Oryctolagus cuniculus: one gene and its partners. The main gene of each other region encodes a partner of the protein of the gene in region 2 in a complex. Links are inferred from orthologs where the notes say so. Each region holds a gene or a part of one and is shown on either strand. Other genes may lie near its edges. The genes, in order: TIMM17A, TIMM21, CMC1, SURF1, TIMM17B and TIMM50.

The links.
Region 1: TIMM21 (region 2) and TIMM17A share a complex: the UniProt entries of both Homo sapiens proteins name them as parts of the TIM23 complex. The link is inferred for Oryctolagus cuniculus from reciprocal best matches to the Homo sapiens genes TIMM21 and TIMM17A.
Region 3: TIMM21 (region 2) and CMC1 share a complex: the UniProt entries of both Homo sapiens proteins name them as parts of the MITRAC (mitochondrial translation regulation assembly intermediate of cytochrome c oxidase complex) complex. The link is inferred for Oryctolagus cuniculus from reciprocal best matches to the Homo sapiens genes TIMM21 and CMC1.
Region 4: TIMM21 (region 2) and SURF1 share a complex: the UniProt entries of both Homo sapiens proteins name them as parts of the MITRAC (mitochondrial translation regulation assembly intermediate of cytochrome c oxidase complex) complex. The link is inferred for Oryctolagus cuniculus from reciprocal best matches to the Homo sapiens genes TIMM21 and SURF1.
Region 5: TIMM21 (region 2) and TIMM17B share a complex: the UniProt entries of both Homo sapiens proteins name them as parts of the TIM23 complex. The link is inferred for Oryctolagus cuniculus from reciprocal best matches to the Homo sapiens genes TIMM21 and TIMM17B.
Region 6: TIMM21 (region 2) and TIMM50 share a complex: the UniProt entries of both Homo sapiens proteins name them as parts of the TIM23 complex. The link is inferred for Oryctolagus cuniculus from reciprocal best matches to the Homo sapiens genes TIMM21 and TIMM50.

What each region holds. Positions count from the first base shown.
Region 1 is NC_091444.1:17,865,700-17,869,929, reverse strand, and holds the end of TIMM17A (mitochondrial import inner membrane translocase subunit Tim17-A), read right to left. Parts: intron 3,671-4,230; coding exon 3,542-3,670; intron 2,809-3,541; coding exon 2,698-2,808; intron 699-2,697; coding exon 613-698; 3' UTR 246-612; downstream 1-245. UniProt on the Homo sapiens protein: Essential component of the TIM23 complex, a complex that mediates the translocation of transit peptide-containing proteins across the mitochondrial inner membrane.
Region 2 is NC_091441.1:4,572,431-4,577,199, forward strand, and holds the start of TIMM21 (mitochondrial import inner membrane translocase subunit Tim21), read right to left. Parts: upstream 3,246-4,769; 5' UTR 3,030-3,245; coding exon 2,729-3,029; intron 1-2,728. Other genes in the region: FBXO15 (F-box only protein 15), read left to right, coding at 3,699-4,015. UniProt on the Homo sapiens protein: Participates in the translocation of transit peptide-containing proteins across the mitochondrial inner membrane.
Region 3 is NC_091435.1:164,608,887-164,613,845, reverse strand, and holds the start of CMC1 (COX assembly mitochondrial protein homolog), read right to left. Parts: upstream 3,041-4,959; 5' UTR 2,781-3,040; coding exon 2,762-2,780; intron 1,597-2,761; exon of another isoform or gene 1,414-1,596; intron 1-1,413. UniProt on the Homo sapiens protein: Component of the MITRAC (mitochondrial translation regulation assembly intermediate of cytochrome c oxidase complex) complex, that regulates cytochrome c oxidase assembly.
Region 4 is NC_091432.1:235,375,317-235,380,051, forward strand, and holds SURF1 (surfeit locus protein 1), read right to left. Parts: upstream 3,024-4,735; 5' UTR 3,011-3,023; coding exon 2,936-3,010; intron 2,852-2,935; coding exon 2,800-2,851; intron 2,322-2,799; coding exon 2,188-2,321; exon of another isoform or gene 2,153-2,187; intron 2,079-2,152; coding exon 1,996-2,078; intron 1,750-1,995; coding exon 1,558-1,749; intron 1,263-1,557; coding exon 1,190-1,262; intron 1,097-1,189; coding exon 934-1,096; intron 858-933; coding exon 776-857; intron 702-775; coding exon 632-701; 3' UTR 578-631; downstream 1-577. Other genes in the region: RPL7A (large ribosomal subunit protein eL8), read left to right, coding at 1-25, 217-286, 360-464; SURF2 (surfeit locus protein 2), read left to right, coding at 3,103-3,180, 3,269-3,423, 3,629-3,732. UniProt on the Homo sapiens protein: Component of the MITRAC (mitochondrial translation regulation assembly intermediate of cytochrome c oxidase complex) complex, that regulates cytochrome c oxidase assembly.
Region 5 is NC_091453.1:34,071,640-34,076,485, forward strand, and holds the start of TIMM17B (mitochondrial import inner membrane translocase subunit Tim17-B), read right to left. Parts: upstream 3,146-4,846; 5' UTR 3,008-3,145; coding exon 2,982-3,007; intron 2,155-2,981; coding exon 2,055-2,154; intron 1-2,054. Other genes in the region: PQBP1 (polyglutamine-binding protein 1), read left to right, coding at 3,745-3,811. UniProt on the Homo sapiens protein: Essential component of the TIM23 complex, a complex that mediates the translocation of transit peptide-containing proteins across the mitochondrial inner membrane.
Region 6 is NC_091449.1:15,489,315-15,494,160, forward strand, and holds the start of TIMM50 (mitochondrial import inner membrane translocase subunit TIM50), read right to left. Parts: upstream 3,154-4,846; 5' UTR 3,106-3,153; coding exon 2,998-3,105; intron 2,355-2,997; coding exon 2,195-2,354; intron 1,772-2,194; coding exon 1,740-1,771; intron 1,536-1,739; coding exon 1,514-1,535; intron 1-1,513. Other genes in the region: SUPT5H (transcription elongation factor SPT5), read right to left, coding at 4,274-4,417, 4,498-4,593. UniProt on the Homo sapiens protein: Essential component of the TIM23 complex, a complex that mediates the translocation of transit peptide-containing proteins across the mitochondrial inner membrane. Has some phosphatase activity in vitro; however such activity may not be relevant in vivo.

The DNA of each region.
Region 1 (4,230 bases), on a different chromosome or scaffold from region 2:
GAGGATCAGGAGCTCTAAAGGTAAGAGAACGTTTACTGAACAACCCCCTAACCAAGACATGCGCACTGTGCTTTCAAAGTAAAAACCGCGTCCGTAAAGCAATCTCCCGTGAAAAGATCCATGTTGACTAGCCTAGTTCTCACGCATGGCTCCCTGCGAGTGAGATGAGGGCTAACTATCCAGTGTGTGTTAATCAATACGTGAGCATGAAACGCAGAACCACACAACTTATCTTAAAAGACAGACCGAGTTCCAGAAGCTGTTTATTGTTTGGATAACAGAACACACTGGACCAGGCAGAGACGCTCCCAGGAACGGCTGGCGCGTTTCACTGCCTCTTGCCCTTTGGTCCTTCTTCTTCTAAGCACTTAGATTCTCTTTTAACGATAGGAGACATTTATTTTGATCACAAATGCAATCCAAGTGTGAATAAATAAATGTATTATTTTTTAATACTTCACATGTTCCTTTAAATAGAAAAAGTGCTCAATGTCTCTTCACAGCCTGCTCGGCCACAGCTGTCCCATCTATGGTTAAAAAGACTGTAACTTGGTCTTCTGAAATGCTTCTTGACCTCCAGCTCACTGCCGAGTAATTCCCAGGCAAGAAGTCCTACTGATATTGTCGATAGTCTCCAAATGGTGAGGACGGCAACTGGGCGGAAGGCAACTGGGAGGGGTCTTCAGCAAACTGAGGACCTGCAATTAGTAAAGAGGATTTAAGAATGACCTGCGTAGGACGTAATTCAAACGAGCAAGTCTCTAGATGACAGAGCAGCTAAGTCAAACTGAGGTCTACCTCAGAGCTGCAACCTGAATGTCGCTGTAACTCGACGTAACTCCCACAAAAGGACCAGAGAACCTTCAGACCCAGTCCATCAAGGACAGCCTGGCCTCCCGCGGGCTCCTCAGCTGTGCCGGGGAAGCTGGGCGGATCCGTCACAGCCAGAGGTGAGGCTCACACCCGAGAAGCCTCTTCTGTCACAAGCCGCAAACTGCCATGGAGCAAGGCGGGAGGACCCTGTCCCATCTGCACTTCTCTGTCAGCTGCTATTTAAAATTACTGTCACACAGTTTAAGTACCCTGGCTACACTGTAAGAGAACTCTGCAGTCCACTGCATGTAAGCGGTTAAGTGGGGCACGACCTCTGAAATGGCAAGACACCCCCGGCCCCCTTACAACAGTCCTGCTGTCTCAGCTGTTACAGAATGGGGGAGGGGGCGGTGTTTCTATGAACTAAGGAGAAAGGCAGCTCTTGAATAAAAAAGATGAATAATTAATCTTTTTTCCTTTAAGGAAATTGAAGCAGACTAAAAAAGTCATCTGGACAGAGAAGGGAGGCAGTATAAAACTCCTGGAAGGTGTCGATGCTTCGCTCCAGCGCTGTACTCTTGTTTCTCTGTGAAGCAGGACCTGTTCGTTCAGAACACTTGATACTGGATATGGCAGACACCAAGGACAACCACTGTTACCAGGAGACACACCTAACGCTACCCTCAGTTCTACCTAATACTTTCAGTGTTAATAATTTTCTCATGTAAGATAATTGGAAAAATATGGTTAACTCATGTATGAGAACTGAAAAATACAACTTCCCTCCTACACAGGCTTTCAGAAACATCTCCCATCTAAAGATAAAACTCATCTCTTTCAGGCTGATTATCCATAAATGCCGAATTTTGTACTCAAAAGGGAGATTTCAAGGAAAAAATTTAAAAGTAACCAAGACTAATCATTTAGCAGAAAGTAACTGTTTGCTGTATCTATCTGTGACCTTCTGAAAACAGGAAACTCCTGATCCTGATCACTGGGTACAATTCACCTGTTACAATTAGCAACAAATTACACTGGCTTCTCAGAGACCCTCCCAGCAGGCTTCCTTTCCACCGCTTTCATTCTCTTCAAAGCAGGGACATAATCTGACAGGATCTCACGTAGCTTTAATGTGTTCTCAGGACATAAATTCTTGAGTGCAGGGACTGTCCTGTCCACTACGGCACAAGGCCACAAGAGGACCTGGCACACAGATGTATCTAAGCTGTCATTACTGTTACACATCTGCAGAACCTTCTTCAAGCACCTTTAAAATGATCAGAAGTTTCATGATACAACCAAACGAGCACTCTAAAGATGAAAACAGAGTAACTGATGGGAAACATAGCGATCACCTTCACGCTCACTTTTCCACCTGGACCCAGAGCCTGTTATTATCATAGTCCTCATGAACCACAGCATACTAACATAATATAGAGGCTGCAAGCTACCATACTGTACTAGACAAAATATGCTCTTCGGGCTGGCGCTGTGGTGTAGCAAGTTAAAGCTCTGGCCTGCAGCGCTGGCATCCCATGTGGGAGCTGGTTCTAGTCCCGGCTGCTCCACTTCTGATCCAGCTCTCTGCTATGGCCTGGGAAAGCAGTGAAGATGGCCCAGGTCCTTGGGCCCCTGCACCCACGTGGGAGACCTGGAGGAAGCTCCTGGCTCCTGGCTTCGGAGCGGCACAGCTCCAGCCGTTGTGGCCATCTGGGGAGTGAATCAGCAGATGGAAGACCTCTCTCTGTCTCTATCTCTCTCTGTAACTCTGCCTTTCAAATAAATAAAATAAATCTTTTTTTTTAAAAAAATATGCTCTTCTATAACACCAGGAAACCATCCCAAAATGTCTGAGCTGTGGTATTAAGGAGAAAGAAGACTTACCATTGGGAAACTGTGCAGATGCAAATCTTGTCAACAAGATGCCAGCACCTTCAATTAAAGCTAGGAGAATGCCACCCATCGCGGCTGACCCCACCATGGCCACTGGTCCATCTGAAGATATTAATAACAAAGAGATTCTTTAATAGCAATCTACTTGACTGTTAAGACTACAGTAAAATAGAGAGCTTTCCATATGGCTACCCGCTCCCCTCATACCCAGACCCTTCGTTCTCACTGTTCAAGACAGAGCAGAGTCAGCAAACTAGGGCCCACAGGTCAAACACAGTCCACTGCCTGGTTCTGTACAGAAAGCTTTACTGGAACACGGCCAGTGCTTCCACTTGGGTGCCGTCTGTCATTGCTTTCATGCTGTGTAAAGCAGTTGTGACAAACACCGTACAGCCCACAAAGGCTAAAATATTTACTATCAGACCTTTTACAGAAAACTTGTACATCCTAAGTCTAAACCAGAAAACTCAAAGGAATTCCGGGTTGCTTCAAAAGATGGCTCTGAGCTCTTGACTCCTTACAACCCTATGCGGCAGGTACCGATTCCAGAGTACGGGTGAGGAAACAAGGTCTGGTAAAACGCCAGTCACAAAGTTAATAAAAAAAAGCACCGGACTGGGAGTGCTCTTGACCACTGTGATACACAACTCAGAACTTCATGCTCTCACCCTCACACGCTCCAAACAAGACACCCTCTTCCTTTCTCAGACGCCATCTCTGGCACGCCAGACCCCATCATGCAGTGTTCGGCTGTACGTATTAGAGGTCGTCACGTCAGGACAGGTGAGGTTCCCCCAAAGCCTGGCCTCTTCTGGAGTCTAGAGCAATCGCTTACTTCTTGCTGCCAGGATGGCTCCTGTCAGGGCACCACTTGTGATGGAGTTCCAGGGGTCTTCTTTCCCTCGGACTTGAACCATGCTACAGTCAATCATGGAAAACAGACCTCCCCAAACTGCAAAGCTACCTATTTTGAAAGCAAACAAAAAAAAACTTAAAAGTCACTTTTTCATCTTCTATTTAAAATGTTACAATCAAATACAAATGTAAACAACAACACTGGGGCCAGCGCTGTGGCACAGTGGGTTAACACCCTGGGCTGAAGTGCCGGCATCCCATTTGGGTGCCGGTTCGAGACCCAGTTGCTCCTCTTCTGATCCAGCTCTCTGCTATGGCCTGGGAAAGCAGTGGAAGATGGCCTAAGTACTTGGGCCCCTGCACCCAGGTGGGAGACCTGGAAGAAGCTCCTGGCTCCTGACTTTGGATTGGCGCAGCTCTGGCCGTTGCAGCCACTTGGGGAGTGAACCATCGGATGGAAGACCTCTCTTTCTCTCTCTGCCTCTCCTCTCTCTGTGTAACTCTTTCAAAAATAAATAAATCTTAAAAACAAAACAAAGGCCGGCGCCACGGCTCACTAGGCTAATCCTCCGCCTTGCGGCGCCGGCACACTGGGTTCTAGTCCCGGTCAGGGCGCCGGATTCTGTCCCGGTTGCCCCTCTTCCAGGCCAGCTCTCTGCTGTGGCCAGG
Region 2 (4,769 bases):
GCAGCTCCTGCACACCTACTCTGTTAAAGCCCTGTGCTGAGTGTTACTCATGTTCTACACATTAAAATTCACATCTGAGGCCAACATTGTGGTGCAGTGGGATAAGCCACTGCCTGTGACACTGGCATCCCATACGGGCACCAGTTGAGTCCTGGCTGCTCCATTTCCTATCCAGCTCCTTGCTAATGTGCCTGCTAAAGCTGTGAAACATGGTCCAAGTACGTGGGTCCCTGGTGCCTACACAGTAGGACTGGATGGAGTCCCAGGCTCCTGGAAATAACAGAATGGCCCTGGACAGAACAACACTGGAGGGAAGGCTCAGCACGCTCAGAGGACGGGCATGCTGGAGTGGACGTGAGTACCAGAGGCCAGAGAACACTGTTTACCAAAGCCGTAAAGAGCCACACAGTCACATCACTCAAGAGTAGGGTCCCCCGACAGTGCTAGGGACAAAGGGAGCGTGTAACGGATCAGTGCACCTACCGCACTGAACGGCCAGGCTACAGCGGCAGTGCCAGACCTACAGAGAGCGGCTGAGATGAACAGTCCATGGGAACATGGTGCTGCCACGTGAAGACTGACGGCAGCTGACAAGGACGATGCTCAGTTGTATAATCATTAGAAATTATTTATGGGTGATTCGGTGGCTGCAGGCAGTCGTTCGATCACTGCCCCAGTTTCTAGACCAGAGTCACTGAGACCTGGAGCCCACTTGCCACGGCCACCTCCCTCTGAGGCACTTGGACAAGTGCATACGATGACTCACCGGTCCTCCACTAAAGGACCTGCAGTCACAATGGCACCCAAGGACCCAGGCCGCAGGGCTCCCCTCTTAGGAGTGTAGGGGGCCACGGCACAGCATCTGGCTTGTAAAGTGTTCACAGCTGAGCTCAGGGACTTGCCCAGTAGTCAGTTCCCTGATTTCCGAATGTGTGACTGGAATGGAGTATTCAGTAACTCGAGTTTCTCTGGAGGCGGGTGAAGAGCTATCACAGTGGGAAAGTCTAACAGAAGCCTCTGAAACTACCACCTCCAACCCAACCAAGACAGCAAATCAAAATGCATCGCTTCTCCGGGGCATGCCAGAGACACTGCGACTCTCGGAGGGCTGTAGTACCCACCGTATTCTCACGTCAATCACCAGTCTTCCACTGACAGAAACCCCAGGAAGAGGCCAGAGAATGACTGTACTTCAGTGGGAACTCAACCCAGCAGTAGCTGCAACCCAGGTGCAAAACCAGATGCTGCGACTTCCCGGGAGCACAGTAACACGGCCTCACGCGCTGGGATCGAGCCGGAGAGCACTGAGAAGGAGCAGACACCAGCGTGTATCTGTGGTCTTGCTTAGGACTGCGAGTTCTCCCATCTCATCATATACAGTCCTGAGGGACTGGAGCCTTCTGAACCTGGGCCGCCACAATCGGCACTGGCCACCCATGGCTGTGAGTAGTTTTAGATGCATTTAAATAAATAAGATAAACTCAGTTCGCTGGAAAATTCAAGTGCCCAGCAGCTGCGTGTGCCTACCAGGCTGGACAACGCAGACAGAACATTCCCATCACTGTAGAGCACGCATCTGGACAACGCTGCTCTGGACAGCTGGCAGAGTATGGACGCCATCGTCTTAGAGTCCAGAAGTAGTAAGGGGCAGTGCACTGGAAGGCTGGGTAAGACGAGGGCCCCAAGAGGGAAAGGCGTGCCTGTGGAGATGCAGCGGCCCCCTCGCCGACCACATCACCCAGCCTTGTAGAGGGCCCTGGTCTGAGATGTGCTAGGGTGTTCCACCCCAAGTAAAGGGGAAATCGCATCCTACCCTTCCCACCACAACACCTGTTAGGCCTCCTTGGATTCTGGAGCCAGCGTCTTCCACATCCGGGAATACTGCTCCCACCGACTGAGTGACGGGAAGTCTGTCACCTCTGAACGGGGTCCATGTCGGGAAAGGACTCCGAAGAGCCCAGCCTGTCATAAAACAGGTGACCGACACACGGGCCGTCTGCCACTCCCACTCCTGTCCGCGTGCAGCTGCGCCTTTCATGCCGAATCGCCATCACGAATGAAAATCAGATTGGTTCTGACCCATTAGTAGAGTACAAGACATCTGGCAGGACCTGAGACTTGGAAACAATTTACTAGGAAATGTATCTGTATCGAAAGGACATACACCTTATCTCTGCATGGTATAGGCAGGGGTCTACACTGCTTTCTTTGCTTCTCTCCCCTCAATTACTTTTGAAACGAAGAAACGAAAACTTAAAATACCTGTGAAACTATTCTGGTTTTCCCTTACAAGTCACATTTCCTCCTGTTTTGTACGTCTCATGACTGCATGTAACATCGCAGGCCAGGGGTGTTGCGGACACCTTTAATTCTGTGGTCTACGGGGGCTAACTCAGGGCCTCGGCACAGCAGCAGTTACTCAACACAAGTGCACGTGGGTCGACCTGCATAGAGTTCTCCCTACTATGAACGGATCAGCTTTCTCTTCTGCTTAGCCAACTACTCTGTTACATGGACCAGGGCTCACTCAAGCCGAGAGAAGCTTCCTAGACACCGTGCGGACGTGACATGTCACATGACGTGACATGCAACGTGACATTCATGACCAGCACCGCGTCCGTGCAGGCCGCCGTGGGCGTCCACCCCAGCTGTCACTGCTGGTTCAACCCGCCAGCCACGTCTGCATCGTCGGCAGCGGCCGCGCTCCCATCACCGCGGGTTCTGTTACCTTTCTGTGAGGCTGAGACGGCCGGGTCCCTTCCCTGAGCTCCGTGCACGGACACCTGCTTGCTGCTGTCCTCCTCGGCCTTCCGGGGGCTCGGGCACCCGGTCCAAAGGGCCTTCTGGCCGGCGCCGAGGCCAGGTTCGGGCCGCGGGGTTCTCCGCGGCTCTTGCCGCCCCCATGTCAAACGGGGCCCGGGCTTCAGGCACGATCTGTGAAGCACCACGTGTGGCGAAAACCAGCGCTTGCCCGAACACCTGTGCAGCTTCTCCGCACACCGCGCAGCCCGGAGCAAGTTACCGATCATGCTCGCCGCAAGCTGTCCCGTCGGGGGCCGATGCCAAGTGCAACCAGCAGAGCCTCACAGTCCGCCACGCAGCCAGCCGGACACGTGCCTAGGCCCGCGTCACGCACAGTGCTGGGAGGCGTCTCCTACGACGGAACATCGCCCCAGAAAAGTTTATGCTCGCTTTCCCTTCTCCTAAAACCTGACCCCCTTCTACGCTGCCATTCACACCGCACCGCGGCGCCTTCGCAAGGTAACCCGGGAAGCTCGAGAGCATCCTGGGAACTGCAGTGCCGAGCCCTGCTCCTAACGCAGCCGCAGGGCGCGGAAGGCGAGAAAAGGACTACAACTCCCACAATGCAAGGCGCTCGGGCGCGTCGGCCTTCTCAAGGCTCCCAGACGCTCTGCGCGGGACGCATGCGCCGCTCGTCCTTCAAGTACAGGAGGGCGGGGCCGCGCTAGTGAGGAATTCCTGCTTCGGTCTCTGCACGGTCCAACCCGAAGTTTAAAAAGAGGAACCTACAACTCGCGTTTTCCTGACTCTTCTAGACAGGACTGAACACTGGGACATCCGTCCGACTGTGGCGTTGCGGGCCCGTACAGGCCGAGGCTGTAGTTCCCGCATCTCCAGAATTCAGTTTTTTCTTAAGAGTTTGCCACACAGTACACAGCAAGTGGAGCTCACGGAGCATGCTCCTGAGGGGCGTCCTCGGCGTCGGAACGTCGGGGGCGTGGGAAAGAGCGGGACGCGGAAGCGCCCAGAACGCCGCACCGGAAGCGGTGGCGCCCCAAGGGGGCGTGTCCGGGGACTGCGCACGCGCCGCCTCTCTACGCTCTGCGCACGCGCCCGGGGCGGGACTCCGGGTCTCCATGGCGACCGGACGCGGTCGGCTCCTGCAGCAGCACTGGCTTGGCCTCCAGGCTCTGTACTGGCCCCTGCGCGGCCGGGGGTCGGCTTGCGAGAACCCTGGGGAGGCCGCGCGGTGCCCAGGGGCTTCGGGGCTTAGGTGACGGTCGGGGGGAACCGCGGGTGGGGGCTCCGCGGCTCGGGAAGCCTTCGAGTGTCCCTGGCCCCGCCCCGCGCTCTCCCACGCGTGTTTTTATTCCCCGGGCTGTTTCACGCGGGACAGCCGCTTTGTCCTGGACTTGCGGGCGCTCCAGGTTGTGGACAAGCAGTGCAGTGTCCGGGGTCAGGTCCTGGTGTCGTGCGTCCCGGGACGCGGTTGGCCCCCGCCCACATCTTGGGACCCCCGCCCCGAAGTCTCGTCTTTTCAGGGCCCTGGGGTTCCGAGGGCGCATCCCGCCTCGTGCACGGGGCAGCCCGTCCGGCCGACGGCAGGCTCGTCCTCTGGTCTGTGTTCCTGGGGTCTCTTGGGCCTGGACTCCCCGGGGTGGGGTAGGGGCCGGGGGCTGGATGCCGCGTCTGCCTCCGGCCTCTTCCCCGAGCTGTTCCCGTCCCCCGCCCCTGCCCAGGGCCGGCGGTGATGGTCTCCCCAGGCTCCCCTACTTGATAGATACAGGAGCGCGGCGCATTCTGCCTTCTGATAGCCAAACGTCGAAGTGTAGACAAGGATTGGTCCTGGCCGAGCTACTCAAGCCCCCACCCCAGTCTCCAGGGCCGGGTTCCGTGGCCTCCAGGCTCAGTGTCCCCAGGAACCGTGTTTGCAGGTCACAACCCTGTTCCTCATCGTTCTTGATGGAAGAGCTGTAACGCCAGGCGTGCCACCAGCCTGTGACAAGGCGGTAACAGTACTAGCAAAA
Region 3 (4,959 bases), on a different chromosome or scaffold from region 2:
ACAGGGAATGCTGGAGCACTCACATCTGCAACCTTCTCAGGACTGCCCTTGGGCAATGGTAATCTTTTACAGTTTCCCCTGCTTCCAGCTCCTACAGGTAACCAGCGGCTGACAGAGGGCATAAAGCTCAGCTCCGTTGCCCATGAGACAGGACAGACTTTGTACTTTGTGGGTGCACCAGAACTAACTAGCTAAGACCAGCTGCTACATTTTGAGTAAGACTTGGCTCCTGGGTAGCTACCTTGTTAAGCCACATCTTTGGACACCTGCATTCCACATTAGAGTGCCTGGGTTAGAATCCTAGCTCCACTTCCAATCCAGTTTCCTGCTAATTGCACTCTGGAAGGCAACAAGTATCACAGCTCAAGTCCTTGGGATTCTGTCACCTATGTGAGGTATCCGGGTCATGCCTCAAAAGACAGCCCTCTCAGGAGGGTCTTTATAAAAGCTGAGCTTGGCTCAGTCTCCCTCTGCCCCCTGGATCACCACATGATTGTTCCTCCCCTCGCACTCCACTAACCCTCTCCCAGCCTCACCAGTTAGCTGAACCAGAGGGACTTGCCCTATTTTAGACTGTGAACCTTCAAAACTGTGAGGCCCTACAATAAGCCTTCCTTCACAGGTAGCTCACCTTTGATAAGTAGTTGTAGTGAACAAAAAGCTGACTAATGCAACAGCCTTCCCTGAAACCACATCCTAACCCTTCACTCTCCTGTTCGCCTTACTCCCTTGCTTTTCCCCCTAAGGGCACTCCATTAATGAATCACTCAAATGTAAAACACAAAAGAGGAACCCACACGGAGTGACCAGATATTGTTCTGCAATAGTACACCAAAATAAAAAGAACCAGGACGTCTCAGAAAACGGGCCAAGTGGCAAGCCAGTGACATCCTATGTGAAGAAAGAAAAAATGCTCCCCAAAATGGGAAACTACCCCCAAAGCTCCAGAAGCTAGATAAAGAAATTCGCTGGCCAAATTGTAAATAGTTTGAAAACAAAAATAATTAGGTCGGGGCCAGCGCTGTGGTGTAGTGGGTTAACGCCCTGGCCTGAAGCGCCCACATCCCATATGGGCACTAGTTTGAGACCCGGCTGCTCCACTGCCAATCCAGCTCTCTGCTATGGCCTGGGAAAGCAGCAGAAGATGGCCCAAGTGCTTGGGCCCCTGCACCTGCATGGGAGATCTGGAAGAAGCTCCTGGCTTCAGATCTGCACAGCTCCAGCCTTTGCGGCCAACTGGAGAGTGAATCATCAGATGGAAGACCTCTCTCTCTGCCTCTTCTCTCTGTGTTAAGTCTGACTTTCAAATAAATAAATCTTTTAAAAAAATTATGTGCAGTAACAAGTATAAACCATTGAAAAAATAGTCACTCATGAGTCCTATGTTGGTTTTTCATCAGCGTATCTACATACCTGACACAGGATACTCCAACCTCTGGAAATCCTACTCTTCAAAGCCCAGATCCGCCGTTTCATTGCTCCATGAATTCTGACCCAATCGCTGAACCACAAACTGGTCTGATCATTATGCACTGTGGAATTCCTTTGCACTTCTACCAACTCCACCACTACCATTAACCTCTGTGCCTCCGTTTCCTCATATGTAAAAGAAATCAAAGGTCATTGAGACTACTTAGCTTGATTTTAAAAAGTGGTTCAATGAACACTATGCGTGTATTTTGTCCTCTGGGGGTCCCAAAAGTGTCTTTTCCACTTCGGAATCTCCAAATGGTTTGGAGCCATATCACCATCCAACACCTTGAGGCTTTGTATTTATAAAATGAAAGGAATTGGGAAAGGGGGGTGGCGGGGCTCAGGTTAAAGGCCCAGCATGCAGTGCTGGCATCTCATAAGGGCACAGGTTCCAGTCCCGGCTGCTCAACTTCTGATCCAGCTCCCTACTAATGCTCCTAGGAAAGCAGTGGAAGACGGCCCGAGTGCTTGGACCCCTGCACCCGCATGGGAGACCGGGAAGAAGCTCCTGGCTCCTGATGGGCTCAGCTCTGGCGTTTGCGGCCACTGGGGGAGTGAACCAGCAGATGGGAGACCTCTGTCTCTAGCTCCCTCTGTAATTATTTCAAATAAGTAAAATAAATCTTTAACAGCAACAACAACAACAACAAAAAGGAGTGGGCAGATCAATCACCGTCCCCCCAGGAGGCTTCTGTATCTACACCCTTGCATAAACTGCCTCAACGCCCAAGACGCAGGTGTGGTTCTGCGAGGAGGCGCCTTAGAGTAACAGAACTCTGCAGCAAAGGCAAGCAGGAGGAATCACGACAGTCAGAACATTTCAGAGCCTGGGGACCCCTTCCCCGAGAGACGACTCGCCACAGGAATGGACCCTCGAACCGCCGTGTCTGAGGACGAGCCGGGGGTCCGGGAATTCCCAAAGACAACGTGAACTCGAGCTCCGGCTCCAGTACGAAATGTTGCTGGGTCAAAGGTGCCTACACCATCCAATGTCTAGTCTGGGCCCTAAGGAGCGAAAATGACGACGAAGAAAGCCGTCTGAGCCGAGGAGGGAAAAGTCTGTTTGCCGCAAACGGACCACAGTTCCAACAACAAAACCCAGAGCCCCTCACCTAACCCTAACCTCGCCCGAGAGAAGCAACCAGGGCCGGCTGCGAACCCCACGGCAGGAGCCGGCGGTGAAGGCAGTGTGCGAAAGCGGCGCGACCTCAGATCGGACCTTGCCCAGCCCGGACGCCCGCGGCACCAGCCCGGCGTCCCGCTGCAAACCACGCATCAACCCCCGTACCTGCGGGGTCGAGCGCCATCGCGGCGGGCAGGGAACGCGCGGCGCCGAGGCTCCGGGGAAGGGGGCGGAGAGGGGAGGAGCCCGCGCCTGACAACACGTGCGGCCGCCCGGAGGGTCCCGCGACCGGAGCCCCAGGATGGAGAGAGGAGGGGCGACACACGCAGCGGGGGAGGAGCGCAATGCCCTTAGCGAGGACCCCACGAGCCCTTTTATCGCGTCCGCTACTTCCTACTTCCGCTGCCCGTTACGCCTGCGCCGCCTTGGCCCCGCCCACAACCCGGTAACTAGGGTGGAAGCCGACTCCCCGCGGGAGCGACCCGGGGAGGGGGCGTGGCTGCGCGTGCGCCGTGGGGGCGGGCGCTTCGGGGCGCGCGCAGCCTCCGTTTGGCCTGAGCGAGCACCCGGGGATAGCCGCGTGGGCTGGAGCTGGGTTTAGGGGGTTTGCTGACAGCGCTCCCTTTGGCCACCGCTTTCTAAGCCCGAGCCTCCCACGCTGTATCTGCGAACCGGCTGAATCATCTCGTTTTTTCATTCATTCATAAACTGCACGCCAGCCAGGCTGCAGACGGGGTTCTGCGTCCTAGGGGGAAATAACAATAAAAACAGGGTCCTTCTCCGGGGGTGGGGGTGGGGGGCAGTGCCTGCAGGGGAGCGCTGTGAAATGCGGAGGTAGCGTGCTGTCACGGTTTCTCCCCCACATCCGCGGCCTGGGGCGCTCGATAATAAGAGCTAGGGGTCCCTCGGTTTTGTGACATAGCATTTTGGGGGCGGGGGATCGTTTCAAACCGACTCCGTGCATTCGGCCTGTCCTCCCTAGACTCCCCCTACCGCTCTTCACAGAAGGAATTTTCGGGAGTGGGGCGGGGGCGGCGGCCACGCAGGCTCAGCTGCCCCGGCTCCCACGCAACCTTCGCGGGGCGCCTGCCTCTCCAGTCCACCTTGAACCTGCTCGAGGCTCCTGCGGCTGGGGGCAGATGGGACAGATGTTTAGAAAAACAAGGAGCAGCTGCCTCTTCCCTGCAAGGGATTCAGGGCTTTCAAAACGATCCCCTCCCCTCCTACCTGCGGTCCCTCCTCCCCTGCTGCTGCTTCCGCCTGGTCAGTTGGCAGAAGAGCGGAGCCCTGGAGCCGGGCTGGGAAAGTGGGTCTCGGCTCAGCAGGTCTTCCGTTTAAGGGCCTAGCTGGGCATTAGGGCCCCGATTACAGCTGCAGCTTGAGGTGCCAAGGTGAAGAATTAGCGCTTCCTACAGCCAGGCAGGACATCGGGTCCTTTTCTTGCATGCTGTGTAAATGTGCTTAGACCCAATTCGGAAGGCAAAGACGAACCTTCTTGAGGAAGAGGTGGGGTGTAAAGACCCGGCTGATCGAGCTGAAAGACAGGATTTGGTAAAAGTTTTATAAGGCTGTTTTATGAAAGTATGGTGCAGGATGGGTGCAGGTGGAGAGGAGAGAGCCAAGAGGTCTGCAGGCAGTCACTCAGGGGCACGACTGCGTTAGTCTGGGCAGGAGCTGAAAAATGGCTGAGCTGGCATGTGTGGAAATGTAAAACAAAGGGGTAGGTGAGAGAGTAATTGCAAAGAGGAATCTGTGCGTCCTGATGGGGCTTGGGAGACTAGCGCAGGCCGTTCAGAGGATTTCTAGGTGATTCCTTTCCTCATACAAATGAGAACATCATGGCAGTGTGCCCATTCATGTCTAGAATGAGCTGCCCTTGTGGCTCATTATGGGGCAATACCGAGACAGACAGCAATGAGGAAGAAAATGCAGTTACCTGGGGAGAGTGGCAAAGGTTGAACCATGCTTACAGCCTGTGGAGGCAAAAAGAAGTGCTCAGAATGTAGAGTGGACATTCAAAGTACACACACACGAGAGAGAGAGAGAGAGAGAGAGAGAGAGAGAGAATGTGTGTCTCCCTATATTTTTCTTTAAAAAAAAGGATTTTATTTGAGATTTGAGAGGTAGAATTACACACAGAGGGAGAGACAGAGAGAGGGCTTCCATCTGCTGGCTTACTCCCCAGATGGCTGCAAAGGCTGGAGTTGAGCAGATCTGAGGCTAGGAGCTTCTTCAGGTCTCCCACGCAGGTGCAGGGGCCCAAGCACTTGGACCATAGCAGAGCTGGATTGGAAGAGGAGCTGCCGGGACTCGAACTGGCTCCCATATGGGATGCTGGCACCGCAGGCGGAGGCTTAGCCTAC
Region 4 (4,735 bases), on a different chromosome or scaffold from region 2:
CCGTGGCCTTCACGCAGGTGAACTCGTAAGTGCCCGCGTCCCCCCAGGCCCCCTCCCCCCAGCCCTGCCCCCGCCAGTGATGGTCGAGAATTTCTTCACCTGAACCAGCCGTGTGGTCAGTGACGTCTGAGGCGCCCGCGCCCAGGCAGAGGCCGCCCTGTGCCCGCGAGTGAAAACCAACCACGTGTCCCCCCCCCCCCCCCCCCCGTGTGTCAGGGAGGACAAAGGGGCCCTGGCGAAGCTGGTGGAGGCCATCAGGACCAACTACAACGACAGATACGACGAGGTGAGCGCCGCAGCGCCCGCCCCTCCCTGTCCAGCCGCGCGGCCGGCCAGGCTGACCGCCCCTGTCCTTGCAGATCCGCCGCCACTGGGGAGGCAACGTCCTGGGGCCCAAGTCCGTGGCTCGCATCGCCAAGCTGGAGAAGGCCAAGGCCAAGGAGCTGGCCACGAAGCTGGGGTGACCGCGGGCTGCTTGTACATAATAAAGCTGGTTTGTCCCAGCCCGTGTCCCTGACTCAGTGACGCGCGGGCACACACACACACACACACACACACGCAGGGCTCAGGTCAGGGCCTTGGTTCACACGGCGGCTTTATTCGGGGGGGGGGGGGTGTGGGGGCAGGGCTGCTACACGCCAGGCGCTCGGTGCAGGAACTTCTTCACCCACAGGTACGCGGTGGCCGCACACAGCCCGTACCTGCAGTGCGACACGAGTGGTCAGCCAGGCCTCTGGCGGCTGGGGCAGGGCGGGGCTGGGCAGGGGGCGCTCACCAGGTCACGATGTACTGCAGGTGCTCGTTCCGCAGGGTGACTCGGGTCTGCCCGCCGATGGGCCCCCCAGGGATGGTGCTCTCTGCAGGAACAGGCACGCTGCTGCCCTGCACCCCCCCCCCACGTGGGCAGACCCGGGCTGGGTGGCCTCAACCTACTGAAGTCCGCGTCAATGAACACGGGCTCCGAGCCCGCGGCCCTGGCCATGGCCTCCAGGTCCCGGTAGTGCCAGTGGTTCCTCTCGGGGTTGTTCTCAGGGACGAAGGGCTTCCTGGTCTCCGTCAGCCTCACCATCCCCACCAGGTCGACCTCGCCCTCCACCTGCAGGGCAGCAAGAGCCGAGTGGGCAGCAGGCCAGGGCCGGGACGACCGAGGAGACCGGGGGAGGGCAGGGCCAGAGCTGTGGCCGCTTACTTGGCCTTTCTGCCGGGTGTCCGGGTTCAGCCTCCTCCGGGGGACGAATCCCCTGTTCACCAGGATGGTGACCCTAGAGGTGGGCGGGGAAGGGTCCTTGAGGAAGATCCGGGTGAAGGTGTCCAGCCTAGACAGACTGGGTGGCCAGCTAGGCGTCCCCAGCCGTCACCAGGGCCTGGGGTGGCCGGAGCCCCCTTCACTTCCGCCTGCCCCCCTGCAGGCACAGCTGGGGCTGCCACGCACCCTCCCCCTTCAGGGAGCTCCAGGCAGTGTAAACCAGGGTTGCTTAGCTGGTGGGGGCCATCGACCTGCACGGCGGGGGCGGGGAAGGAGGCAGGGAATCCCGTGTGCACCTGCCCACTGCTCACCCCAGGTCCGTGCAGTGGAAAGGGGTGACCACGTAGGCCCCGCTCTCGGTGGAGGAGGAGATCCGGCCGGCCTCCCGGGCCTCGCGGGCAGGGTCCACCATGGTCCGCGGCATCATGTACAGTTCCTTGGAGTGGTCAAAGTGGCCCCTGACCTTCACTGGCCTGTACTCCAGGCCTCTCAGTTCCATGGGACTACACGGAGACAGGGGGTGCAGGCTGGCACAGAGCAGCCCGGGCGGCCCGGGAGTGTGGGTCTGCAGCCCAGGCCAGCGTCCTGCACAGCTGATGGACGCACGCTGCGTGCTGATGTGTAACCACGCGGGCGCGCTCTCCAATGACAACGACCCACCCCCCCACCCCCAATCACTGCGCACGGAGAGGAGCCGGTGCCGGGCAGTCCTGTCCACGACCAGCCCAGCAGGGGGCGGCCACACTCACTCGGCCGGCAGCGGGATGGGCTCGGCCATCACTCTGGACTCCAGCTCCTCGATCAGTTTCAGCTTCCACTGGCGGCGCCGGACCTGCCGAGGACACCCGGCCTGAGCCCCAGACCACGGTCGTGCGGCCCGGAGCCGTCCCGCCGGGCCCTCCTCACCTGCCACGTCCCCAGGCCGAAGGACCCCTCCTCACCTGCCACGTCCCCAGGCCGAAGGCAGTCACGGGGATGAGCAGCAGCAGCCACTGCAGGAGGCGGTCGTCCTCTGCTTTGGAGGCCGGCGCGTCCGCCGCGGAGCTGCCGCACCTGCTCGGCCTCCCGGCCGCCCCTGCCGCGGGGTCAGACAGAACCGGGGCGCTAACTCAGGCCAGCGACGCTGCCAGGGACAGCGGGGCGCAGACCTCAACAGCCCTAACCTGTGGGGGTCCAGCAGGCAGCACCCGCGCCCGGCCCACGCACACACCCGGGGCGCGTTTGGTGGCCGGTGCCATGGCCCTGGGTAGCTCCCGGAGCCGCCCCAAGCCTTGCACCCAGAAATGCAGGCCTTCACGCACGCACTCGCCAAGTGGCTTGGCCGGGCCGCGGGCTCCGTGTGCACCCGGGGCGGTGGTACCCAGAGGGCACGCGCGGGGGTGGTGGGTGGTCCCGACGGCGGGCCTGGGGTCGCCGGGCTCCGTGCGCGCTGCGGCGATTGCAGCCGCTGAGCTCACAAACGCACGGCGCCGGCTTCCCGCTTCGGCCAGCAGCGACACCGTCCAGCCGGGTTCCCACGACACCCCCTCGGGGCCGCGCCGAGTCCCCCTCACCTGGGCACGGCAGGACCCCCGGGGCGCTCCTCCAGTAGGCGGTGGCGGGGGCCTGCGGGGACGGGGGGCGGCGGCTGAGCCCCGGGGCCGCTCCCACCCTCCCTCGCCCCGCCCGGCCCCGGCGCCCCGCGCTCACCCGCCCCGCGCACGCCGCGCGCAGCAGCGGCCCCAGGCCCACCGCGCGCAGCCCCAGCCGACTCGCCGCCGCCATCGCACCGGCGGCCTGCGGGAGCTTCCGGGGCGGAGGGCAACTGCTTCCGGGTCGGCCCGCGGCCCGCCCCCCGCACGCGGCGCGCGCCTGCGATGGACGCGCTGCCGGCCGAGGTGCGGGCGTTCCTGTGCGAGCACCCGAGCCTGCGGCTGCTGCCCGGCGCCCGCAAGGTCCGGGAGGCGGGGAGGGCCGGGGCGCGGGCACGGGCGCGGGCGCGGCGGGGGCGCAGGGCGCCGACCTCTGGCCGTCCCGCCGCAGGTGAAGTGCGCGCTGACCGGCCACGAGCTGCCCTGCCGGCTGCCCGAGCTGCAGGTCTACACCCGCGGCAGGAAGTACCAGCGGCTGGCGCGCGCCTCCCCCGCCTTCGACTACGCCGAGTTCGAGCCTCACATCGTGCCCAGCACCAAGAGCCCGTGGGTGGCCCCGGGGCCGGGACGGGAGCGCCCTGCCTGAGCGCGGGGCGGCACAGGGTGGGGGTCGCGGCTGTTTCTGTGAGTGGGCCGGAGGGGAGCGGGTGGTGGCGAAGGCCCGGGCCCGGCTTCCGCTGGCCCGCCTGGGTCGGCGGGTCTGCGCCCGGGCTGCTGGTCGGCGCTGACCGCCCCCTGCCCCGCCCCGCAGGCGCCAGCTGTTCTGCAAGCTCACCCTGCGGCACCTCAACAGGTGCCCCGAGCACGTGCTGAGGCACACCCGCGGCCGCCGCTTCCAGCGAGCCCTGCGCCGGTGTAAGTCGCCCCGCGCCCGGGCGGGAGGACGGCCCGACCCCAGACCCGGTCGGCGTGAGCTTCGGGAGGGCTCCCGGGGGCTCTGGGAGGCCGGAGGGGACAGCGCACCCGGCAGGCAGAGGAGGAGGGGGCCTTGACGGTCTGAGGATGGGGTGGGGGCGCCCAGGACGAGGGGCTGGGGCTGGGGGAGAGCTGCACACGGCGTCAGCTCGCGCTTAGAGCCGTGTTCTGGGAGTGGGGGTTACAGGGCAGCAGGAGAGAGGTCTTCATCTGCTGGTTCACTCCCTAGATGGCCACAATGGCCAGCGCTGGGCAGGCCAGGAGCCTCCTCCGGGTCTCCCACGCGGGCGCAGGGGCCCAGGGACTTGGGCCGTCCCCCACTGCTTTCCCAGGCCACAGCAGAGAGTGGAGCAGCCGGGACTCGAACCGGCGCCCACATGGGATGCGGGCACTGCAGGCGGCGGCTTCGGCCCCAAGTGTGAATGTCTGGTTTCCTGCCGGAGACAGGAAGTGGTGAATTGGGGTTTGCCTTGAATGTGTTAAAGTGGGTGAGGAAGGGCGGCTCTTGGGTGAGGCACCTGGGAGGGCCCAGAGGGGACAGCGCGGTGGCCACGAGGCTTCACGGCGTGGAAGCCGCAGGAAGGGGGTGCGGCCCCCCCCCACTCGGGGCTGGGAGTTACGGGGGGTGTGGCTGTGCCCTCCTGCCCCGGGTGGGCGCAGACTCGGGTTTGGGGCGGGAAGATGAGGACAGGGGCCTGAGGCTGCTGGCGCGGGCCAGACCCCTGGCCTGGCAGGGATCCGAGCCAGGAGAGCTGGCTGTGGGCAGGGCCGGGGGATGTCTCCTGTGAGGCCGCGGTTTTGGTGATGGATTGCGGAGCTGGCCGGGAAGCAGCGAGGCTCCGTGAGGGCGGCCTCGGGGCTGGGCACGGTGGAGACACCTGTGTGGGTTCCTGTAGTGATGGGAGTGGGCGGCCACATCAGAGGCCAGGAGGCAGGGGCCATG
Region 5 (4,846 bases), on a different chromosome or scaffold from region 2:
GGTAGATCCGGGCTCTGTCCTCCCAAAGCTTACATCAGTGGAAGGCAGATCCTGAGCAAGAGTACACACAAACAAGACAGATGCGGGCAGCAATATGCACTCCGAGGAGACAGGTTAAGAGAAGTGATCATGGCTGAGGGACAGGAAAGGCCTCTTCACAAAGGGGACATTTGTGCTGAAATTGTGACGATGAGAAACACAAAGATCTGGGAAAGGGAGTTCCAGGAGTTGAGAGGAGGGACAGAGCTACATATAAAAACTGCAGAGGACTGGACCTTGTGGTGCAGTGGCTTAAGGCCCTGCTTTGGATACCAACATCACATATGTGAGTGCCAGTTCAGGTCCAGGCTGCTCTGTTTCCTAAACAACTTCCGGCTAATACATCTTGGGAGGCAGTAGATGATGATTCAAGTGCCTGTGCCCCTGTCAGCCACATGGGAAACCCAGATGGAATTCCGGGCTCCTGGCTTCAGCCTAGTCCAGTCCTGGCTGTGGTGGGCAGTTGAAGAGTAAACCAGCGCATGGGCGCTCTCTCTTTCTATCACTCTGCCTTTCAAGTAGAGGGAAATAAATAAAACATTTGTTTAAAAATTACAGACTGGGGCAAGCATTTGGCCTATTGGTTAAAGCACCCACATCCCATATTGGAGTGCTTGGGCTTGATCCCCACCACTAGTTCCTGTTTTTAAGATTTATTTTATTTATTTGAAAGGCAGTGGGACAGAGAGAGGGGGAAAAACAGAAAAAGGGGTCTTCCACCTGCTGGTTCACTCCCCAAATGGCTGAAGCCAGGAGCCAGGAACTCCATCTGAGTCTCTCCCATGTGGGTGGCAGGGACCCAAATACCTGGGCCATCTTCTATGGCCCTCCCAAGCGCATTAGCAGGGAGCTGAATCAGAAGCAGATCAGGTGGGACTTGAACCAGAGCTCTGCTATGGGATGCTGGTGTCAAAAGCAGCAGCTTAACATAAATGCCTTCCAGCCCCAATTCCTGAGTCCAGCTCCCTGTGAATTCAGACCCTGGAAGGTAGCAGGTGATGGCTCAAGTCATTAGGCTCCTGCTATCCATCTGAGAGAGCTGGATTGAGTACCTGGCTCCTGGCTTTGGCCCAGGCTGTTGTGGACATTTGGGGAGTGTGCTCTCTTTTTTTTTTATTTTTTTTATTTTTTTTTATTTTTTGACAGGCAGAGTGGACAGTGAGAGAGAGAGACAGAGAGAAAGGTCTTCCTTTGCCGTTGGTTCACCCTCCAATGGCCGCCGCGGCCGGCGCGCTGCAGCCGGCGCACCGCGCTGATCCGATGGCAGGAGCCAGAAGCCAGGTGCTTTTCCTGGTCTCCCATGGGGTGCAGGGCCCAAGCACCTGGGCCATCCTCCACTGCACTCCCTGGCCACAGCAGAGGGCTGGCCTGGAAGAGGGGCAACCGGGACAGAATCCGGCGCCCCGACCGGGACTAGAACCCGGTGTGCCGGCGCCGCTAGGCGGAGGATTAGCCTATTGAGCCGCGGCGCCGGCCCGGGAGTGTGCTCTCTTGCTCGTTTGTGCTCTCTCCTGGCCCCTCTGGCTCTCAAATAAATCAAGAGATCATGACAAATGGTGATACATAAAGCCATGACATTTGATGACATTTTGTTTTTTGGCGGGGAGGGGAGTCAGGGAAATAAACCGAAGTATGTTAAATTAAAATGATTTTCTCAACTTTAAGGCTGTCCTCCTTCTGTCACTTCACTCCATCCAGGTTGAAGACCCAGCATCTGCCTCTAAAATCTATTTGGTTTTGCACACACACACACACACACACACACACACTCGGGACTGGGGAAGAATGTTTTTACAGCACATTTCCACCGAGGAGGTCCAGCTGGGTGGGGGAAGGGGACAAGAGGTCACATCTGCAGTTCCCCAGGTCCAGGAGCCAGGTCTGGCACATAGTAGGTGAATAGGGACCAGAAGAAGTTAAGTGCATTGGCCTGGCAGCTCCAAGCAGCTTTTAGAGTAGCGTCCTATGTGGGCAAGGCTGCTGACCCCCACACCACCCGGTGGGCCAGGACTCACAACAGGGGCGTTGCGGAAACCCTTGATGGCCTGGAAGACTCCGCCGCCGATGACACCCATGGTGAAGGCTCCACCGCAATCATCCACAATTCGCCATGGGCTGAAAAACCGGAAGGGAAGGTTGGGGTTAATGGGAGCCCCTCCCCTCCCTGGACTCTCTCCAAGTGGGAGAAACCAGTCACTGGAATGGCAAGTTTGTGAGTGAGAAGAAACACTTCAGATAACAACGAGCTAGTTCTGTCATTCTTTTTCCCTGATGAAATCGAGAAATGGGGCAAAAGGGGAAAAATAATAGTCTCTGCCTTGATCACCTTTTGCAGGCATCCAAGGAATCAGCCAATTACTTTACTAGCAAATATTAAATGAACTGAGGCATGTAGAGTTGGCGCATTTCAGTAAGGGTTACGGAAGTGTTAACTGGCTAGTTATTAAAAACGAGGTGACAGCCCCTTCTGGGACAGTGGCATCCAACCAAGCCTTGTCCCCTCCTCCTCTTAAACCAAGCACAACTGAGAAAAACCCAGAGGCCCGTTGGGAAAATCCAGCACCCCTCCTCACCCACAATAGGTTCACGCATGCCCCGCCCCGATTCACACAAGCGACCTGGGAAAAACCATGCGTGCCACCCTCCACCCACGCTGGAATGGACTGGACCAGCGTCTCTGCTCGCTAACAAAGAGGAACAGGAGCCACAAAGCCAGGGACAACATGGCGTGGTTCGTCCTGTACCGCCCCTTCTCTGGGCACACAGTTGTGGCCCCTTTTAAAGAACCCCGAAAGGAAGGAAGTACAGGGAGCGGAAGGCGAGAAGATTCTAAGTCTCCCTAATCTGGGACGCCGCACTGTGCGGCCGGTGCCTCCCCCGCCCGCCTCCCATGGCTGGTCTTGGGGCAGCAACAGTCCCGATGCCTGTGCCCATCGCCGTACCAAGGCTCCCGAGCATACTCCTCCATGGCGCCGGCGTCTGGAGGCACAGTCAGGCCCGAATCCTGTGGGCCACGCCCCCAGTGGAAACGCACCACAGGCGCTCTAGCTCTTCGCCTATCCCAGGACAGCGATTGGGTGGCTTCGCCACGTCAAACGCAGGACGCTTCTCATTGGACACCCAGGATAACGTCATCTTTCCACTGCAGTCCCAGCGTCTTCCAGTTACGTCTTGGCTCGGGTATTGAGTACGCCGTTGTGTGCTTTGGGGGAAACGAGTGGTGTGGTCCTGGTGATCAGAGCAGTGGCGAGAGGAAGGAGGCTGTTCTTTCTACCTGCCCGACTGTACTGGTAACGCGGGGAGGGGGAGGGGGGCATGGTTTTGCAGAGCTGGAGGAAGGGCTGCATTCCGCTCCCCCACCCCAGGGCTTTGGTTTTTCCCACCCAGCAGTCTTTGAGGGAGGTTGGGTGAGCCAGTTTCTGAAGCTGCGCTTGGCGCCTTTGGCGGTGGGTGGAGCCCGGGAGAGGAAGTGGATCCTGGAGCTCCGGGCCTAGTAAGTGAGCGGCTGGAAGGAGTTTTGTGACATTTGCAAGCCTCTTGTCTCTCGTGTTTTAGCGCATAGGTTGAGTCCGCCCAGCTAGCTCCTGGTGTATTTGGGAAGGTGAGAGTCCGATGAGTACATGCTACGGGAGGGATGAGCTCTGGGTTATGGGATCCAGATTTGAATCCTCATCAGTCTGTCTGTCCCCAGATCTGTCACCCGCTATGCCGCTGCCCGTCGCGCTGCAGACTCGCTTGGCTAAGAGAGGCATCCTCAAACATCTGGAGCCTGGTAAGAGAGCTAAGAGCAGATGGGCGTATCATGTATCAAGCCTGATAGGCCCTTTTTTCATTGATATGGACACTAAACACTCAGCGTGGACCTTCTGTGCTCTAAGCCGTGGCATGGCAAGGATTCCTGATGTCCATTCCTTTTGCAAACCATGCAATGTGTGTGTTTGTGGGGGGAGGGGGAGGTTGAAAAGATGCATATTTCATTCTTAACAATACACAACACTGATGCAAATTTCGGGCCTCCACGAATCACATGGAGGTAAATGCATAGTATTTAATAGGCTATGTGTCAAGTCCAGGATGTTGTTGTTTTTTTCGACTTACTCATTTGGGGCTGGTGCTGTGGTGTAGCGGGTAAAGCTGCCATCTGCAGTGCCGGCTTCCCAAATGGGCTGGTTCAAGTGCAGCCTGTTCCATTTCCAATCCAGCTCTCTGCTGAGGCCTGGGAAAATAGTGGAAGATGGCCCAAGTCCTTGGGCCCCTGCACCCGTGTGGGAGACTGGAAAGAAGCTCCTGGCTCCTGGTTTTGGATCAGCGCAGCTCTGGCCATTGTGGCCATCTGGGGAGTGAACCAGCAGATGGAAGACCTCTGTCTCTCTCTCTCTCTCTTTCTGCCTCTGTGTATCTCTCTCTCTGCCTCTGCCTCTCTGTAACTCTGACTCAAATAAAAATCTTTTTTTTTTTTTTTTGACAGGCAGAGTGGACAGTGAGAGAGAGACAGAGAGAAAGGTCTTCCTTTGCCGTTGGTTCACCCTCCAATGGCCGCCATGGCCGGCACGCTGCGGCCTGCGCACCGCTCCGATCCGATGGCAGGAGCCAGGCGCTCCTCCTGGTCTCCCATGGGGTGCAGGGCCCAAGGACTTGGGCCATCCTCCACTGCCTTCCTGGGCCACAGCAGAGAGCTGGCCTGGAAGAGGGGCAACCGGGACAGAATCCGGCGCCCCGACCGGGACTAGAACCCGGTGTGCCGGCGCCGCTAGGTGGAGGATTAGCCTATTGAGCCGCGGCGCCGGCCTCAAATAAAAATCTTTTA
Region 6 (4,846 bases), on a different chromosome or scaffold from region 2:
GCCCCGGGGCCACCAGGGCTGAGGGTGCACAATCTGTTCTAAATAAACACGCTGAGTCGTTTGAGAGGCAGAGAGAGAGAGAGAGAGAGAGAGAGAGAGCGAGAGAGCGAGAGAGAGAGAGAGAGAGAGAGGTATCTTCCATCAGCTGGTTCACTCCTCAAATGGCTCTACCAACCAGGGCTGGGCCAGGCTGAAGCCAGGAACCAGGCATTCCATTGAGGTCTCCCACACGAGTAGAAGGGGCCCAAACAGGTGGGCAGATGAGCCATCAGCGCTGCTTTCCAGGTGCATTGGCAGACAGCTGGCTAGAATCAGCACTCTGACACAGGACACAGGTGGGCGGTCCACGTGGCAGCTGAACCCAGGGCCCCAGAGCCCACCTGCAGCTGAACCCAGGGCCCCAGAGCCCACCTGCAGCAGCTCACAACCACAAACTCCTGTGACTGTCTCCCATGACTTTAAAACAGGATGCAGGTATTTCAAAGTTGGTGGAAAAAATTAAAAGGTAGTTTTGGTGTAAAAACAACTGAACACACGCATAGTTTTCTCACAATACACACCTTCTGTGAAGGCGGGGAGGTACCTGCAGGGCTTCACAGCTCTCCCGATGCGCCTGTCTCAACAATACTATAGCACAGAGGCTCGTGTTTGATACAGAGTCAGGACGCCAACGGGGGTCCCCCATTCCACTCAGCGGGATCTGGGCTCAAGTCCCAGCTCTGCTCCTGAGTTCTACTTCCTGTGCATGTGCCCTGAGAGCTGCAGATGATGGCTCAAGTCCTCGGGTCCCTGCCGCGTAAGAGACCTGGACTGAGCTCCAGGCCCCTGGCTTCAGCCTGGCCCAGCCCCAGCTGTTGCAGATATTTGAGGAGTGAACCAGTGGATGGGAGATCTGTGTCTTTCAAATAAATAATAAATTTTTCTTTAATCACATTATTAAAACCAGCTAAGGCAGTACACATAAACATGATGTTTATCTGCCCAGGAACCAAATGAAATGCCTGTTGATTTGTTCCAGTCAGGATGGTCCTACACCTGCCCAGTTAAAACAGCACATCTGCCCGCTTGCCCAGTTTAATTAGTGCAGTACCGTGCCTGTGTGCAAACTCGCCCAGCAGAGGCCAAGTGGCCTTCTGAAGGCACCAATGTCAGCCTCTCCCGGGCAGGGCTGGGTGGAACAACACTCTGCAATCTGGCAGAACAAACTCCATCCAAAGCCGGGTTGAATGGGGGTAAACTCAGAGGCCGCCACAGAGAGGGGCAGGTGCTCAGACCGAAGGCAGCAGACGCCGTGTCTGTGGATAAGCAGCCTGGTGTCCCCAGGCCCTGCCACCGGGCTCCCCTCCCCCACCTGGCTCTGACCATCTGCTCTCTGAGGGCTAGGTCTCTGTGATGCCCCTCCCAGAAAAGCATCGAGCTGCTGGCTCCCCTCCCCCAGCGCAAGGAGGAGCTGGGGGCACCAGATGGGCAGAGCTGGCTGCGTCAGGGACTCAGTCTCTGCTTGTTGACTCACCATTGTCGAACTCATCAGGAATCTGGGAAGCAGAGAGAAAATGCAAAGTTTGGGGTGGCAGAGGCAGACCCCACCACCACCCAGCAAAGCGATCTCCAGGGCCTGATTCCAGGTAGGGAGGGGCTTGCCCTAGACCCAAAAGGAGCCAGAGCGGACCCAAAGGAGGCCCTGACACCCACCCACAGGCTGGGACTCCTGGCAAGGCCTCTGGTCTCTTTCCACTCACCTTGGCACCGTTTTCATCCACAGGGTTGTTTCCTGCAAGGGAGACAGGAGTGAGGGAGAGGAGCTGGGCGCTGCCTCCTGGGTCTTGGAGGAGATGGGGGACAGGGGGCATAAGTGCACCAGAGACACGGCCTCCTGGGTTGGGGGGGACGGAGCCCCCTGGTGTCTGAGCGATGACTGTGCTGGACTGTGGCTGCAGGGAGGAGACACAGCCCAGGAGGCTGGTCCAGGCCTTCCCCACCTCCCCTCTTCCAGTGGCTCCCCACAGCCTCGTACAGGAGCCGACCAGTTAGAGTAGAACCTTACACAGGGGTGAGAGAGACGAAAGGAGACCCCCGATTTCCAAAGCAGGTTTCCTACTTGGTGGCCCTGTGCAGGGAAGCGCCCGGGAGTGAAGATGAGTGGCCCAGGGGCGGCCCCAGGGGAACAGAGAACTGGGGGGCCGGGGCGTCTCACCGAAGATGTAGACGATGCTCACGGTCCCGCCGGCCCCAAGCAGCCCAGCAAGCCAGAGCGCGACTTTCTTGGCATAGCTGGGACCCTCGGAGCCCGGCGGCTGCTGCTGCTGTGGTCCCGGGGCCTTGGCTCCCCCGCGGCTCCCAATTTCCGCAGCAGCCTGTGGTGGAGAAGGGGGTGAGGCCCTGCGGCGCGGAGGGCGCTTAGCCTGTCCCGCGGAAGGAGCCCGGGGCGCGGGGGCTGGCGGGCCGTGGGTGTCAGGAGCGCCGCGGGCCCCACACACGGGGCGTTGGGCCGGGAGGTCAAGGCGTCCGGACGCCCAGAGGGGCGGGGGCGGGCAGGGGCGATCGCTTGTCTGGGGGTTGGGAAAGTGGCGCAAGGAGGCCACGGACTTGGAGGTCAGAATGGCTGGGTCCCGTCAGCACGGAGGCGGGTCGAACTGGACGCCTGACGTCCAGCTCACCTGCCCCACGCCCGAGGCGGACAAGAAAACCTCAAGGCCAGGCTGGGGCTCTCCCGCAACTAGCGCCGGAGTGGTCCCCGAGGTAGGGAGCAGGCGACCCTCCGCCCCCGGCGCCCACGTGGCTGAGAGCGGAGGTGCAGAGGGTGCACTCGGGCCCCAGCATCCGGCCGGAGGAGAGCGCAGCGTTCGCTCCGGGAGGCACGGAGCCGGCCCGAAGGGCGGGCAGTGTTCCATTCAGCACCCTGAGGTGCGGCATCCCAGAGCCACTGGGCGGCAGCTCCCTGTCTAAAACTCCAAGGCGCGGCCGCCGCGCCCGCAGCGCCTGGCCTGTCCCGCTCACCTGGTCTGGGGCCCCGGGGGGCGGCGTCGCCAACCGCGTGCACAGCCCCCGCGCGCCGAGCCGGAGCCCGCTCCGCAAGCGCGAGAACAGCGCCGCCGAGGCCGCCATCTTGCGCTGACGCCACGAGGCCCCGCCCAGTCTCCCCGCTCTGCCCGCCCCGACCTGGGCCTGCGGCCAATCGGGGCACAGAGGAGGGACGGGCGGACGGGAGCCCGAGAGACCCAAAAGGCCTTGGGCGGACTGCCGCCGGCGCGCTCGCTCCTGACCAGTGTCCTGGCTGTCCTCGGGGCCCGTCAGCCGGGATATGGCCACCTAGCTCCAGTCCTGGGGAGCACCACTGGTACTGAAACTGGACGTGGCAGGGGCAGGGGTCACACTCACGGCTACCCGATTTGCCCCCAAAAACTGATAAGGAATCAGCTCATCTCGGCCCCTGGGGGGTTCTGCCTTCACCTCCTAATTGCCCTAAGTGAAACCAGCAGCGGGCGTGTAGCCTAGCGGTTAGGGCGCCCAGCGTCCCACACCGTATCACCTGGGTCTGATACCCGGCTCCAGGGCCGACTCCACGGGAGACCGGGGCTGAGCGCCCGGCAGGTGGGGCGAGCCAGCAGGTGGCGCTGTCCCCGTGTCAAATGAAGGGAAGGAGGCTCGGGACCCAGGCAGTTCTCTCCACTGCTCCTCCTCCTGCCGAGCGGGGCTTGGACGCTGCTCTCCTCGCCTTTCCCTAGGTCTTTCCTCCGTGGGGAAGCTGAGGCTTGGGTAAGAACTGACCCCACTTACAAACAAGGCCAGGCTCAGGCATCCGGCGCTGGGCGGGCATCCCATACGGGCGCCGGTTCGAGTCCCGGCTGCTCCACTTCCAACCCAGCTCCCTGCTATGGCCTGGGAAAGCAGCAGAAGATGGCCCAAGTCCTTGGGCCCCTGCACCCACGTGGGAGACCCAGGAGGCTCCTGGCTCCTGATCAGCTCAGTTCCAGCCGTTGTGGCCATTTGGGGAGTGAACCAGTGGATGGAAGATCTCTGTTATCTACCCCTCAAATAAATAAATTAAATTTTAAAAAAGACCAGGCTCAGCACTTTTGACCAAACAGCTTTTTATTGAAAGATCGTAACTCAAAAGCAAGCCGGGGGCTGGGGTACAAGAAAGTGGGGCCCCTCCTCCGGACTCTACTCTGATTCCTAGGAGCATGGGGGGGAGGTGACCCAGAGAGGACACCAAGGCAGTCCAGGCCGGCCAGCCCGGCCACTCTGCCTGCGCCTCGGCCCCAGGCACGCCTCAGGCCTCCAGCAGCTTCCCCAGGAAGCGGAGGTTGAGGATCTTGAGCTGCTCGTCCAGGTCCATGCGGACGATGCCGTCCTCACCGTCAATGCTCAGCAGCACTCCCGTGGCTTCCCGGTCCTCTCCCAGGATCACCTTCACCTGCGGGAGGCAGTCAGAGTCAGGGCCCCGCGTCCTCCACCCCCCACCCTCGGCCCCCGCCCCTCGGCCCCCGGCCTCACCTTGTTGTTCTTGGTGGGGGTGATGGGCTCCAGGTGCTCGCTGGAGATGCTGACCACCTTCTCACTGTCCTTCAGGTACACGGAGCACATGCCTCCCTGCAGGGGCACAGCCTGCTCAGCTGCCCTGTCCAGCACAGGACTGAGCCCGCATTCAGGCTCACTCGCAACACGCAAGTCACTTTCCCAAGATGACTCGGCGGCAGCAAAGGCCAGGCTGGGCCAGCTTCCGGGGCCTGGGTCTATGCAGCAGTAGGGGGTGCCCGGATCAGCGGGGAAGCACCAGATGCAGCCGTTTCAGGCCAGAAGGGGGCAGCTTCTCGGACTCGTGCCCCACGGCCCCAGCTCTGGC